Arabidopsis thaliana: one gene and its partners. The protein of the gene in region 1 interacts with the protein of each later gene in a pairwise test. Each region holds a gene or a part of one and is shown in the gene's direction. Other genes may lie near its edges.

Evidence for each region.
Region 2: the proteins of RR10 (region 1) and AHP2 interact in binary tests that used the Arabidopsis thaliana proteins (3 or more experiments, as listed by UniProt).
Region 3: the proteins of RR10 (region 1) and AHP3 interact in a two-hybrid assay, tested with the Arabidopsis thaliana proteins (one study listed by BioGRID).

What each region holds. Positions count from the first base shown.
Region 1 is NC_003075.7:15,443,553-15,448,954, reverse strand, and holds RR10 (response regulator 10), read left to right. Parts: upstream 1-1,912; 5' UTR 1,913-2,188; coding exon 2,189-2,315; intron 2,316-2,771; coding exon 2,772-2,924; intron 2,925-3,028; coding exon 3,029-3,367; intron 3,368-3,447; coding exon 3,448-3,524; intron 3,525-3,618; coding exon 3,619-4,473; intron 4,474-4,557; coding exon 4,558-4,665; 3' UTR 4,666-4,902; downstream 4,903-5,402. Other genes in the region: BAT1 (HXXXD-type acyl-transferase family protein), read right to left, coding at 5,259-5,402. UniProt on the Arabidopsis thaliana protein: Transcriptional activator that binds specifically to the DNA sequence 5'-[AG]GATT-3'. Functions as a response regulator involved in His-to-Asp phosphorelay signal transduction system.
Region 2 is NC_003074.8:11,263,478-11,267,281, reverse strand, and holds AHP2 (histidine-containing phosphotransmitter 2), read left to right. Parts: upstream 1-1,719; 5' UTR 1,720-1,873; coding exon 1,874-1,939; intron 1,940-2,158; coding exon 2,159-2,289; intron 2,290-2,369; coding exon 2,370-2,441; intron 2,442-2,524; coding exon 2,525-2,596; coding exon of another isoform or gene 2,597-2,600; exon of another isoform or gene 2,601-2,651; intron 2,652-2,664; coding exon 2,665-2,737; intron 2,738-2,846; coding exon 2,847-2,903; 3' UTR 2,904-3,156; downstream 3,157-3,804. UniProt on the Arabidopsis thaliana protein: Functions as a two-component phosphorelay mediators between cytokinin sensor histidine kinases and response regulator (B-type ARRs). Plays an important role in propagating cytokinin signal transduction through the multistep His-to-Asp phosphorelay.
Region 3 is NC_003076.8:15,746,583-15,751,539, forward strand, and holds AHP3 (histidine-containing phosphotransmitter 3), read left to right. Parts: upstream 1-2,148; 5' UTR 2,149-2,211; coding exon 2,212-2,424; intron 2,425-2,913; coding exon 2,914-3,044; intron 3,045-3,125; coding exon 3,126-3,197; intron 3,198-3,289; coding exon 3,290-3,361; intron 3,362-3,460; coding exon 3,461-3,533; intron 3,534-3,612; coding exon 3,613-3,666; 3' UTR 3,667-4,309; downstream 4,310-4,957. Other genes in the region: AT5G39330 (transmembrane protein, putative (DUF1163)), read left to right, coding at 1-42, 149-425; AT5G39350 (Tetratricopeptide repeat (TPR)-like superfamily protein), read left to right, coding at 4,347-4,957.

The sequences.
Region 1 (5,402 bases):
CCAAAGTGTTGCTGTTAATTTCTCATATTTAAATGTGAATAGATATATACTATATACTAATATACATGTGTGTATCCTATATGAGACCATAAGCCAATGACAGTAGGTATTAGCTAATGACAAGTGACTTCCAATAACTTATTAAGAAGTAGAATCTTTACAGATTTGATGTTTACATGGATCTTCTAGAAAACTGATTTCTTTAATCTCTCTAATGTCATCTGCAACTATTTAACATACACACACACAAAATAAAATAAAATTGGAAGAGCTAATGATAATGATTTGTATTAGAAAGTTGTCCTTTATTTTCCAATGCATTGCATCGAACATATGTTGATGTTCTTTTAAAATCGTAAAATCTAGTTCTGTATTCTTTTATTCTAGGTTTATCAAGGCTTTGTCACAAGACAATGAGAATACAACTTTTCTCTAATTTTCTTCATATACTAAATAAATTATCGTAGATTTGTAGAAGGTTCTTAGGCTAGATTCAAAAAGTCATTTAGGATCTCTTTCTAGATCTTGCATTTTTTTTAGTAAATCTTATGCTGGTGATACTTTTATTAAACCTTATGATTCTAATTTGGAAAACAAAACTAACTGATAACCTATTTTACATTAATAAAAACGATGCATAATTGTAATAATGTTTTATTTTTTTATGTTAATAAGCTAGCCAAAACATATTATTGATCCGAAGTACGCTATTTTCTATAAGAAAAGGAGAGGCACGGAAATGAACACGCTGTGTGGTTAATCCAAGAAATCATACAAAATTAATTCATAAACTATAATAAAATCATTGGGATCTTATTTTGCACCCACCAAGCTTGTAGGCTGAAGATGCGGATGGAACCCAACTTCAAGAAATTCTTGCCTTTTGTTTTATGGCTTTTTTTTGTCTTGTCATAGTTATATAAATGTATTTTGCTAAATTTAAACGGACAATCAAATAAATAAATAATATATAATTTGTAGTTAACAACTAAATTCAATGACTAATATCATGTAACAATAGACTTGTGACAGCAGTTTTCTTTGTTGACTTCAAAGTTTAATTCGAGCGTACGATACATTTGGTCGGTGATAAATATCGTGCTATGAGTTTAATTTGTTGACTTGAAAGTTTTATAAACATTGTGAACCATTGTAACATGTGTTTCTTGATTATACATATTCCTAAAATTAATTTCATATGGTAAGAGTGTAAAATTATCCAAGTAATGGTGTAAATTTTAAAAGTCTTTTTTTTTTTTTTTTTTCATCAATTTTAAAAGTCTTTCTCTGACGTTAAAAATAGTCTTGTCTTAGGTTTGAATAATATCGGCATTAGCCATTATTGGTCGTTACTATGGGATACTTAATTTTGCTAAATCTTTCAGAACCTGTACGAGATAAGCGAAAAAGCCATGAACCACGGTCACGCGTGTCTCGCACTTCCCAACTTTCACCATGCATGCTCTCACTAAAGCCTGTCTTTTTTTTTCTTTCTTTTACATATTTTAAAATCATAATACCATAATTTGCACTAATTCTTATGGTAAATCCGTTTTATGAGATACTCAACTTAGTTGTCCATTCCTTAAGACACAGATTAAGGAAAGTATTCAATTCTTTTTGAAGTTATGGTAATAACTCAAATTCTTCTTTCCTGCCTTGAATACTTGGTACAATATCACAAACATATCTCTAAATTAATTACATGATCTGCAGAATCATTTACATAAACACTTTCACATTTTTATCCATTTAAAAAAAAAAATATTATGATCCTCTTTCCTTTTCAATTAATTATCACTAAACTAAAAAATATTATTCCCACAGTCAAAAGAAACCAAACTAATTTAAAAAAGGTGGCGCGTGATTATCACGCTCAAATGACCGATCGGTTCCACTGAATTTTCTCAGAGATTCTCCTCTGAAAATGTTTTTTGTTTTTTTCTTATGTCAAAAAGAAAATTTACCAGAAATGATTAAAATTTGAAAAGAGAATTCCATAAATGAGTTAATTCGCCAGTCTTGAAGATCATTACAGAGTTTTCAGAAACCATATGTAGTCTTAGATTCTCTTTTGCCAAAGAAGAAAATTTTACTCTGCCATACAACTTTTTGTCTCTTTCTCTACTAATAATAATAATCCGAACTTTGTTTGTTCTTCTACTTCAATTCATAATCTTTGACGGCGATGACTATGGAGCAAGAAATTGAAGTCTTGGACCAGTTTCCGGTTGGGATGAGAGTTCTTGCTGTTGACGATGACCAGACTTGTCTCCGTATTCTCCAGACTTTGCTTCAGCGCTGCCAATATCACGGTTTGGTTCCTTCTCTCTCTCTCTCTTTGTTTTTTTTTAATACCAAATTTCTTGATGTTTTCTAGATTTTGGATTTGGTTAAGCTACAAAATTTAACATCAGATTCGTTTCTTGTCATAACACCATAAATCGATTCCTCTCTAGATTTTTATATTTTTGAAGACGAGCTTGAAGAATCAATTAAGACTATATTAGCTAGATTCACTCTCTGCATATTTTTTTACTTTTAAAAATCCATGCTTCAGATTTTGTTGCTTCACTTGTGTTTCAAAGGTCATTGGTTCTTGTTCGTTCGATTTGAAACAGTCTCTTGTTCTGTAAAAATTGAGACTTTGGGGAATTATTACATATTTGATTGCTCCCCATGTGTCACAGAGCCATTGGTTCTTGCTTTACTACTTTTGAATGAGTCAAAACTGAAACTTTGTGGGTGATTATTATTATTGTAATGTGCAGTTACAACAACGAATCAGGCACAGACCGCATTGGAGTTGTTGAGGGAGAACAAGAATAAGTTTGATCTTGTTATTAGCGATGTCGACATGCCAGACATGGATGGTTTCAAGCTGCTTGAGCTTGTTGGTCTTGAAATGGACTTACCTGTCATAAGTATGCAGCTCTCCTTGTTCTAGTTCATAGTTCCTAGAGAAAGTTTTGATCGTTAGACAGATTTGACTGTTTGAATCTTTAACATGATGATTGAATTCTTGCAGTGTTATCTGCGCATAGCGATCCAAAGTATGTGATGAAAGGAGTCAAGCACGGTGCCTGTGATTATCTGCTTAAACCGGTTCGAATTGAGGAGCTTAAGAACATATGGCAACATGTTGTGAGAAAGAGCAAACTTAAGAAGAATAAGAGCAATGTGAGTAATGGTTCAGGAAACTGTGATAAAGCAAACAGAAAACGTAAAGAACAGTATGAAGAGGAGGAAGAGGAAGAAAGAGGGAATGATAATGATGATCCAACGGCGCAGAAGAAGCCTCGTGTTCTTTGGACGCATGAGCTGCACAATAAATTCCTAGCAGCTGTTGATCATTTAGGCGTTGAGAGTAATGTTTCTTGATCTCTCTACCTCTAGTTTTCATTTAGCTGTGAATCATGTTCTGATTTATAAGTATTGATGATGCAGGAGCTGTTCCAAAAAAGATTCTAGATCTGATGAATGTTGACAAACTCACTAGAGAGAATGTTGCAAGCCACCTTCAGGTGAGAGTTAGACTATGATTCTTCAGATTTGATCTGTTAGTGTTGATATATGTATGATTCCATTAAACACATTTGTAATGTCTTTTGGTTGCAGAAATTCCGCGTTGCTCTGAAGAAGGTGTCTGATGACGCCATTCAACAAGCTAACAGGGCGGCTATTGACTCACATTTTATGCAAATGAATTCTCAGAAAGGACTTGGTGGCTTCTACCACCACCACCGCGGAATACCTGTTGGATCCGGTCAGTTCCATGGTGGAACCACAATGATGAGGCATTACTCTTCAAATAGGAATCTTGGTCGTCTGAATTCCCTTGGAGCAGGAATGTTCCAACCAGTCTCATCATCGTTTCCTCGTAACCATAATGATGGAGGAAACATACTTCAGGGTTTGCCGCTAGAAGAGCTTCAGATCAACAACAACATCAACAGGGCTTTTCCAAGCTTTACTTCACAACAAAACTCTCCAATGGTAGCTCCCAGTAATCTGTTACTTCTCGAGGGTAACCCGCAGTCATCATCTTTACCCTCAAACCCGGGTTTTTCTCCTCATTTCGAGATCAGCAAGCGTCTAGAACATTGGTCAAACGCTGCATTGTCAACCAACATTCCACAGAGTGATGTTCATTCAAAACCTGACACCTTGGAATGGAATGCGTTCTGCGACTCAGCTAGTCCGCTAGTAAACCCAAACCTGGATACAAATCCGGCATCTCTCTGCAGAAACACGGGTTTTGGATCCACAAATGCTGCACAAACAGACTTCTTTTATCCATTACAGATGAATCAGCAGCCTGCAAACAACTCAGGTCCAGTGACAGAAGCTCAACTGTTTAGAAGTAGCAATCCAAACGAAGGTTTACTCATGGGACAACAGAAGCTTCAGAGTGGTTTGATGGCTTCTGATGCTGGTTCCTTAGATGATATAGTCAATTCCTTAATGACACAGGTATTGTATACAATAAAAACCATTTACTTTTTGCACCTTATTCTTTTGGAGATTTCTGAAGATTTGTTACTTTGACTGTAACAGGAACAGAGCCAATCTGATTTCTCGGAAGGTGATTGGGATTTGGATGGTTTAGCTCACTCGGAACATGCATACGAGAAACTCCATTTTCCCTTTTCTTTGTCAGCTTGAGAAACCTGTTTTATTCAGACACAATCAATTATTATTATCTTTTGGTTCTGTCTCTTCTCTCTTCTCTGTAATGAAAGTGTAAGCTATTGTTTACCGCTCCCCCACTGGTTTGAGCAACTTAGGAAGATCCAAATCCATAAATAAAATTCAAAAAGTACCCTCTTTGCTACAAATGTAAAGGTGTTTTGAAGAGGAAGTCAAAGTCTTCGTGTCTAAGTGCAAAATAACGTTAGAATCAAAGTAGTACAATGATTTGTACTACCAGCCTAAATCGGCCCCATATGCCCAATAACCTGGCTTAGGTGTCAACCACCCAACATTGGCGACCTTAAGAAAAAAGTCTACAAAGAAACATAACTTTATAATTATTTATCCAGAAATTCTGGAAGAAAATAAAGCCTATCACGAAATGAGTATAAAAGTGATAACGACAACAAATACAAAGCAGAGAGATGTCATTAAATTATACATCATCATAACCCAATTACAATAAAGTGTCTTTAGCGCACACGCATGCATATAGAGGAGCCATTATCATACTGTATACTACCACAAAGATTCTACTAATTAATTAATTATCACCAGCTAATATATTAGCAATCAAGGAAATGATTTGAAAAGCCATTAACATCTCGTGGGTCCAAGCCAATCCTCACAAGAACACCTTTGGCATCTTTAGGGTTCTTCATGAAATAAGCAACTTGTGGCACCGGTGGACACAGTGGGGCCATGTAATC
Region 2 (3,804 bases), on another chromosome or scaffold:
GTTTGTTATGTTCTCTGGTGTGTGTTTTGTTTTTTTTGGTATTACTTTCATATTTTTTTGGTCGAAGAGGACTTGTATTCGACAATGTCGCTTCAATTTTGTTGTTTCCTTAGAAACTAAATAAATATTGGTTTATATTGGAGTAAAATGTGTTTGTACTTTGTAGTTAATCGTTGAAAGTTTTGCCACTTATTGAGCTTTGTCTGCGAGAGTTGACTCGGAAGAATATTTGCACATTGTTCATAGAGAATCACATGATATCTCTTCTCTGGTGGATTAGGAACCAAACGCATCTTGTAAAAGTTTCCAGGTTGGAGATTCTGATTTCTGAGTGACACCTAACGATTCCATATTTAAAGCTTTATGTTTTTGTATGTCTCTCATTGCGATTGGTATTTTTTGTTTAAGTAAATATGCATAAATCCATTCGTAGAGGCATTCCTTACAGTACTAGTGACCACATATTAACCTTTTAGGTACGCACACCGAAGTTGGCTACATAACTTGGGTGAGTATTCCAATCTGTAATGTGAATAGTTTACCATATCACATATAGCTCTGATACCATAAAAAACTATATGTGAATAATATTAAAAATCTTATACACAAAATTTTCTTTTAAATGGTTAGTCTAATTGTAATTTAAAAATATCGAAATAATAAGTTGCAATTTTTTTTTTTTTTTTTTGGGTCTTTGAAAAGAAAATATAATGTCAAATACTTTAATTTTTCCAAGTAAATCGAAACATAAGATTGATATTTTTCTTTTATATAAGAAAATTAAATTAGATTTAATATTATTAAATGAGTGTTTCATATTATATTTTTCAGAAAAAGAGTTTTTATTAATTAACCAAATACCAATAATTTACTTAAAAACTTGTATTGAATCCAAATGTTTCCCAAAAAAAAAATATTTAATTGGGATTGACAAAAATAGCACCAACAAAATTTTTTCTTCCAAAAATAACAACTTTTTGAAAAATTTCACAAGTAGCTTTCAAAATTTTAATTAAATATTAAATATAAATAATTAATTTTATTTAAATAAATAAAAATAAAAATTTTCCGCTAAAAATTTTTCGTCAAATTTTCTGCCAAAACAATTCGGTAATAAATTTTCCCGCAAAAAAAATTTTCCGTCAAATTTTTCTTGTAAAAAAACTTGAGGAAGCTAACTACGACATTCGTGAGGATTTCACGGAATTCAGGAAAGATTTTACAAAAAAAATTTTCGTAAAATTCTTCCTGAATTTCGAAAAAGAAAAATTCGGGAATTCAGGAAAAATTCTACAAAATTCAGGAAGGGTTACAAAAGAAAAAAATTATAAATTTCGTGAAACCTTTCCTGAATTGCTTAAAATCTTTCCTATATTTTGTAAAAAAAATTCTGAATTTTTTTTTGTAGGTAAAATGTGGGCGGCGTAATTATTTTTGGTGGAAAAATTTTGACGGAAATTATTTTGTAGAAAAATATTGTTGAAAATTTTTGGTATGAATTTTTGTATTTTTTTAAATGTTAGTTGTAATAATTAAAAATTAAATAATTATTTGAGTGTTATTTATGTTCACAAAACTTTTGAATGGTATTTTTATCAAAAAAAACTTTAAAATTATGTTAATTATGAAAATTCTCTATTTAATTTTTTTCACCCAAATAAATAAATACATAAAAATGTCCAAATATTTGTGTGTTTCTCTTTTAATTATTGTTTCCCATTTAAAGTAAAAAAATCTGGTAGCAGCGTTACAATTCGCGAGAAAGACAAAACACAAGTTTCTTCTTCTTGGGATTGGCTATTTCCAGAAATCCAAGTCAATAATCAAAGTCCAAACAAAAAAATCCTCTCCCAATCTCCGCTTCACTCTTCTCATGGACGCTCTCATTGCTCAGCTTCAGAGACAATTTCGTGATTACACCATTTCTCTCTACCAACAGGTTTCAATTCCACAATTCTTCAAACCCAATTTCATCTCTTTGCTTAGCTAATTTAGCTCATATACACACTAGATTGACTCCTATATGCATAGATTCATGACAAAAGTGAAGAAAGATTGAATCTTTATGTAGATTTTTACAAGTTATGATTTTTAGGGATTTGAGTTGTGTAAAGGTTGGAACTTTAGATTCATGGGTTTGTGTTTTTTTTATGTGAAGGGGTTTTTGGATGATCAATTTACTGAGTTGAAAAAGCTACAAGATGATGGAAGTCCTGATTTTGTGTCTGAAGTGCTTTCACTTTTCTTTGAAGATTGTGTGAAGCTTATCAGTAACATGGCTAGAGCTTTGTAAGTTTTTGATATTCTCTCAGCTAGATCATCATTGCTTGTGTTGTCTTAAAGTGTGATTGTGGCTACTTCTATTTCAGGGACACGACAGGAACTGTAGATTTTAGTCAGGTAGGTGCTAGTGTGCATCAATTGAAGGGTAGTAGCTCAAGGTATGTATCATGTCTCGCTTTATATAAGTAGCAGAAGTTGTGTGTTGTTGATTGATGAAAAGCTTTGTGTTGTTTCTATGTAGTGTTGGTGCCAAGAGGGTCAAAACTTTGTGTGTTAGCTTCAAGGAATGTTGTGAAGCTAAGAACTACGAAGGGTAAGCGAGTTATGGTTTTCTCTTGGGACTCATTGGTTGAGTAATAATAGTCTCATGTTATGTTACAGGTGTGTGAGATGTTTGCAGCAAGTGGATATTGAGTACAAGGCGTTAAAGACAAAGCTTCAAGATATGTTCAATGTGAGTGTGAATAGAATCCATCTCTGTTTTTGGCTCTGCTTTTAATGAATCATTTTGGTTATGAGTAATGAACAAATCATTGACATTGTTGTTGTTGTTGTTGTTTCAGCTTGAGAAACAGATCATTCAAGCTGGTGGTATAGTTCCTCAAGTGGATATTAACTAAAGAGACTAGTCCATAAGAAGAAAAAAGATGATGACTTTCTTTCTTTAGTTTCTCTTCTAAATTATTTTGGATTTGGTGTTTGCTCAAAAACTCAATAAAATATGTGCAAAAAGAAACAAAAACAAGTGATGGTTGTTTATAAATCAGTAGTATGTATTGTTTGATCTCATCCGAGAAAATTGAAACCATTGGACTAATGAATGTGATGATAATATATATTGGTTTGCTTCTGAAAGGTTTGGTTTGAGTAAGATATAGTGATTACTAAGTAAGTCTTGACTAGTGGGTGCTTCTAAAAATTGTGTGTTTAGATCTTTTAGTTTCCCAAATTTGCCCATAATGTTTTCGTAATTATCTGAATTATTTGTCTCGAAGTTGACCTTTACTCAAATTAGTAAAAGTTTGGTAGTGACTTTCCAAATTTTTACAACCTGTCTCCTTATCAGAATATGAATATCGTAAACCCTAAAACCTAAATCTAAACCATTACCCATTCGATATCCGAAATGGACATTCTAAGAAAATATGGTAATTCTTTCAGGATAAATCACAAACCGCTTTCGACGAGATTACGGAGCATGTAGTTAATAAACGGGGAAAATGTCATTTAAATCATCACTTTACCATTTTCGTTGGTTTAAATCATGAACTTTGGATCTGGTGAATTAAATCTTTAATTTTATGTTGACTTTCAAATTAATCACAAATTCTTGTTGACTAAGCAAATTGAGACACAAATTCTTTTTTTCGATGTCGTCAATCGACCTTAAGACGAAATATTACTTTGAATTCGAAAAAGAAGAGAAATTCCAAAGAAGATGAGAGATTCTGAAGAAAAAGAGAGAAAAAATCAAAAATTTTGATTAGAAAGATTTCTAACGATGTGCCTTAATTGGCTTAG
Region 3 (4,957 bases), on another chromosome or scaffold:
AATATACAGAGGTGTTACCATTGCTACTTCATCCATAGAGAGGTTAAACTTTTTTTCTATTCTATTGTCTATATTTTAGAATTTTTAATAATTTATTCAGCTTATTTGTTCACATATTTTTGTGTTATTCCTTATCATGATTGATCAGTTACAGTCTGATACCACGGTGGGCTCAGCTGATTAGGGTTTCATCGATTGCTTCTGAAGGAGACATGGAGGGTGTGATTATAAAAGATATTATGAAGGATATCAAGGAAAAAGGTGAAATAAGGTTCCGATCGCGATTGCTTCTTCCGGATTGTAGATATGGGACAAGTGGAAAGATGAACTATGCGTGTGATGAAGCCATGTTAAGGTTCGAGCCTGGCTCTCAAAGGAATGCAACTTTGTTTGGAGACCACCCTATTTGCCGCTATCTTCGCTAAGTACTTTTCATCAATAGTTTGTTCTTTAGTTTGTCAAATGATGGACTTTCTAAATTCTTTTGCGTTTTGATATGGACTTGCTTTACCTAAATTAAATTCCTATAAATTAATTAATGGAATATATTTCTTCTAGATGTTAAGTGTTGAACATTCTTAATTCTCTCTCTTTACGAACAATAGATATGTTCTAGAGCAATATCATGGAGTTGTACGTGGTGTTATGATGATTTCTACACGAGGCATTTATCCTTGACGGACAAGTTGCAATTATTTTCCTCCATGATATTCAATTTTTGGGATGGTATTTTCATTCTCCACAAATGTTGCATCTATGAGATCAATATGCATGCAAGATCTCTAATTAATGGTGTGGTGCATGGTCTGCCCTCCCAAAGGTGGATCTTTATCTTTTGTGTTGTGATAGTAAATTTGTATATATATATCTAGTGTTTAAAAATTTGCTAAGCATGGGGTGATCCAATACCTACCTATTAAAAACGTTTAATCCGAACATAGCTACACACGGACCGAATGTTCTTTTTTGGAGTTTTTTATAATTTTATTAAGATTTTGGGACATTTAGATCTCTTTAAATTAATATTTACTAAATTAAAGAGAGTAGTTAAGATCCTTACCAATAAACGAGAGAGATGTTAAGATCCGTCTCATCAAAAAAAGAGAAAGATTTTAAGATCCAAGTCAGGTCACTTTTTTCTTTGGTATTAATCTCACAACTCAATTCTCAACTCAACTCAGGTCACCAAGATTTAACACTTATAATTTTACACTTTGTTTTCTTAATCATTATATACTATCCTAAGCATATATATGAATCTTTCACCATAAGTTATACCATTTATATATGCTAATATTTTCTAAATAAACCTTACAAATTTGTTGGCGCTAACAACCATTGTTTAATTTTGCTTGGGGTGGCTCTAGTTATATTATATAGACCTTAATTTTGCAGGAGGTATGTAACACCTCATATTGCTTCAGCTTAGCAATTCATATATAGCCAAGACGTGTGGACTTCTCACCCAAAGTTTCCTAGTTTAAATGTGAATGCCTCTAAACAAAAGTTCTTGCTTTCGATGTCTAAACTTAGATGTGTTACCGAATAAAGCCAGATTTACCTCCTTTGACCTTACTATATAGCCAGCTCGCTGCCTCCGCAACTCTCAAAATGACACTCGCGATCATATTAGTTGTTTCCAACAAATTGAAAAATAAAACATTTCACTCAAACAAAAAAAGATCTAAACAGCCGAAAAAACAAGTCCAATATCAAAATCTGTTATAGCAAAAAAAAAGAAGGTAGAGTATTTTGGTAAGAAAGAACTCTAAATGCCTCTACGATATAATATTAATAAGTATGTTACCAAACAACTTAATATTAGTGCAAAAAACCCTTTAGTTTGTCATAAACAGCAAAATCTGCCACTATAAGTTGTTTTCATGAGGTCAAGTTGATGAGAGTATATGATTCTCTGAAGCTCATGTCAAAAGAATAGAACCAATGTTCTTCAGTCTTGTCCACACGGTAATGCTTCAAATGAACTTGTCTATAGAGAATCTTCCAGCGTGAGAGATTCTTAGTGTTGGTGGATTGACATAACAGAAACATACCTAACATTGGAAAATGCTAAAAACTTTGAGTGAATGAATGAATGTATCAATCATGAATTAGAGATTCCATTTTTTATGGCCTAAATCAATGTTTCTCACTTGTAAAAGTTGTCTTTTTGACAACTAATCATATTCTAATTCTTTTTCTCTGCCCTTTATGGAAAAGCTTTGTGACTATTTCTTTATTTATTTCTGTCCAAATTTGATGATCTGTAAGAATCTCTTTATTGGGATTGCAATTTCAAACAAACTTTACATCTTCTTCTTCTCTCTGCTTTTGCCTTCACGACGAGTAGAGAGAGCCATGGACACACTCATTGCTCAGTTACAGAGACGATTTTGTGATTTCACCATTAGTCTCTATCACCAGGTAAATTTTAGCATCTCTCCTTAGAGATTCAGGATAAAAGTGATTAACTTTCTTGTGAAGAGAACTTAGAAATTGTGGTTGAGTTTTAAAGTCTCCTTTTTAGAGATGGCTCTCCACAGTCTTTAGGGTTCTTATTGAAGCTTTTAAATTGGAAACTGGGGATTTAAGAGTTAGGTTTACTGATTGTGAAATGGGTTATTGTCTCCATTTTCAAAGTCGTCTCCTTTCAAAGTGATTACTTTTCTGGTGAAGCAAACTTTGAATTTGTGGTTACGTTTTTAGGGTTCTTATTGAAGCTTGTATATGGCAATTGGGGATTTTGGGAATTGGGTTTAGGGTCTGTGAAATGGGTTATTGTCTCTTTTTCAAAGTTGTCTTCTTTTTAGGGATGACTACTCTCTACTGTTTTTAGGGTACTTGGAGCTTGTATTTGGAATTGGGAATTTTGTGAAATGGGTTTCTGAGATTCTTTGTGTTGGTTTTGTAAAGGGGTTTTTGGATGATCAATTCACAGAATTGAAAAAGCTGCAAGATGAATGTAGTCCTGATTTTGTGGCTGAGGTTGTTACTCTCTTCTTTGAAGACTGTGAGAAGCTTATCAGTAATATGGCTAGAGCTTTGTAAGTTTACTTTTCTTTTACGAGTTTAATCATCAAAAGCTAGCAGATATGGTTTAATGATTGGTTCATATGTATACTCAGAGATCAGACAGGAAATGTAGATTTCAAACTGGTAGGTTCTAGTGTTCATCAACTCAAAGGTAGTAGCTCAAGGTATGTCACATTTGATCTGTATAGTCTCGGTCCTTTAGTCTAATCTCGGATCTAGTCTCAGTGAAGAGCTCCTTTCTTGTTGTTCTATGAAGTGTTGGTGCCAAGAGAGTCAAAGGTCTTTGTGTTACCCTCAAGGAGTGTTGCGACTCTCAGAACTATGAAGGGTAAGCTTTTGTTTTCCGGTTCTTCTTTAAGAGAATCTCAAATTTCTGCTATGTTCATTTGATTGTTGAAACTAATTTGGGAAACAATCTCTGTTATAGGTGTGTGAGATGTTTGCAGCAAGTGGATATTGAGTACAAGACATTAAAAGCAAAGCTTCAAGATCTGTTCAATGTGAGTGAAAAGCTACGTGAATTGTGTCGGTTTTTTGCTTTCGAATTTCGTGAATAAGTCTTGCATTGTTTTGTTGCAGCTTGAGCAACAGATTGTCCAAGCTGGTGGTAGAATCCCTCAAGTGGATATATAAACAATAGACCTATCGACAACAGAACAGCAAGATGATGATCATCCAGTTGCATTCTTCAGACGAGTACTACTCGAATTTGTTGCTTCGAAAAAGAAAAAAAACTCTTGAGAATGTGTGGAAAAGAGAGGTGATTGTTGTTCATAGATCAATACTATGTATCTTTTGTATCATCATCTCTTGAATCTTGGTACTGATCTTATCTGAATAGTATGAATTTGCATCTCATAAGACCATATGAACAAGAGTGAGTTATGTATTCAAAAACAGGAATATTTCCAGACACAGAAGCATCATAAGAAGCAGAAAATTCAAGGAGAGCTACACAAGACAACGCGCAAAAGAATAGACTCTGAAAGCAAAAAGCTTCACGAAGACATTGGCAAAAGGAACAAACCAAGAACAAACACTCACAAGTGTCCCCTGTGAAAGCTGAAACCTAAAGTTAAACCCATCAGCTAATGTTAAGAAAGAAAACGTCACGCAGTTCTCACTGTGAAATACAAAACGTCAACGCAGTCTCACTGTCAAATACAAACGTCACGCAGTTCTTACTGTAAAATAAGAAAACGTCAAGCATTTCTCACTGTAAAATACAAACGTCACGCAGTTTGGTTAGATATGTCGTTGCTTTTAAAAAATTGCGACCCAATAGATTTTTCAACAGTCGTTTTTTTCTTTAAATGAGTGAAGTTTTGCGCAGAGCCAACAACGCACTTAGTAGCGTCAAGCAATACCAATCTCTCTTGAATCACTTTGCAGCTACTCAATCAATTTCAAAAACCAAAGCTTTACACTGCCACGTCATCACCGGCGGTCGAGTTTCCGGCCACATTCTCTCGACTCTCTCCGTAACTTATGCGTTATGTGGTCACATCACTTATGCACGGAAGCTGTTCGAGGAAATGCCTCAAAGCTCTTTGCTTTCTTATAACATTGTTATTAGAATGTACGTGCGTGAAGGATTGTATCACGATGCGATTAGCGTGTTTATTAGGATGGTTAGTGAGGGGGTTAAGTGTGTTCCGGATGGTTATACATACCCTTTTGTTGCTAAAGCTGCTGGAGAATTGAAATCGATGAAATTGGGGTTGGTTGTTCATGGGAGGATCTTGAGGAGTTGGTTTGGTAGGGATAAGTATGTGCAGAACGCGTTGTTAGCGATGTATATGAACTTTGGGAAGGTTGAAATGGCGAGGGATGTGTTTGATGTGATGAAGAACCGTGATGTGATTTCGTGGAACACGATGATTAGTGGGTATTATAGGAATGGTTATATGAATGATGCGTTAAT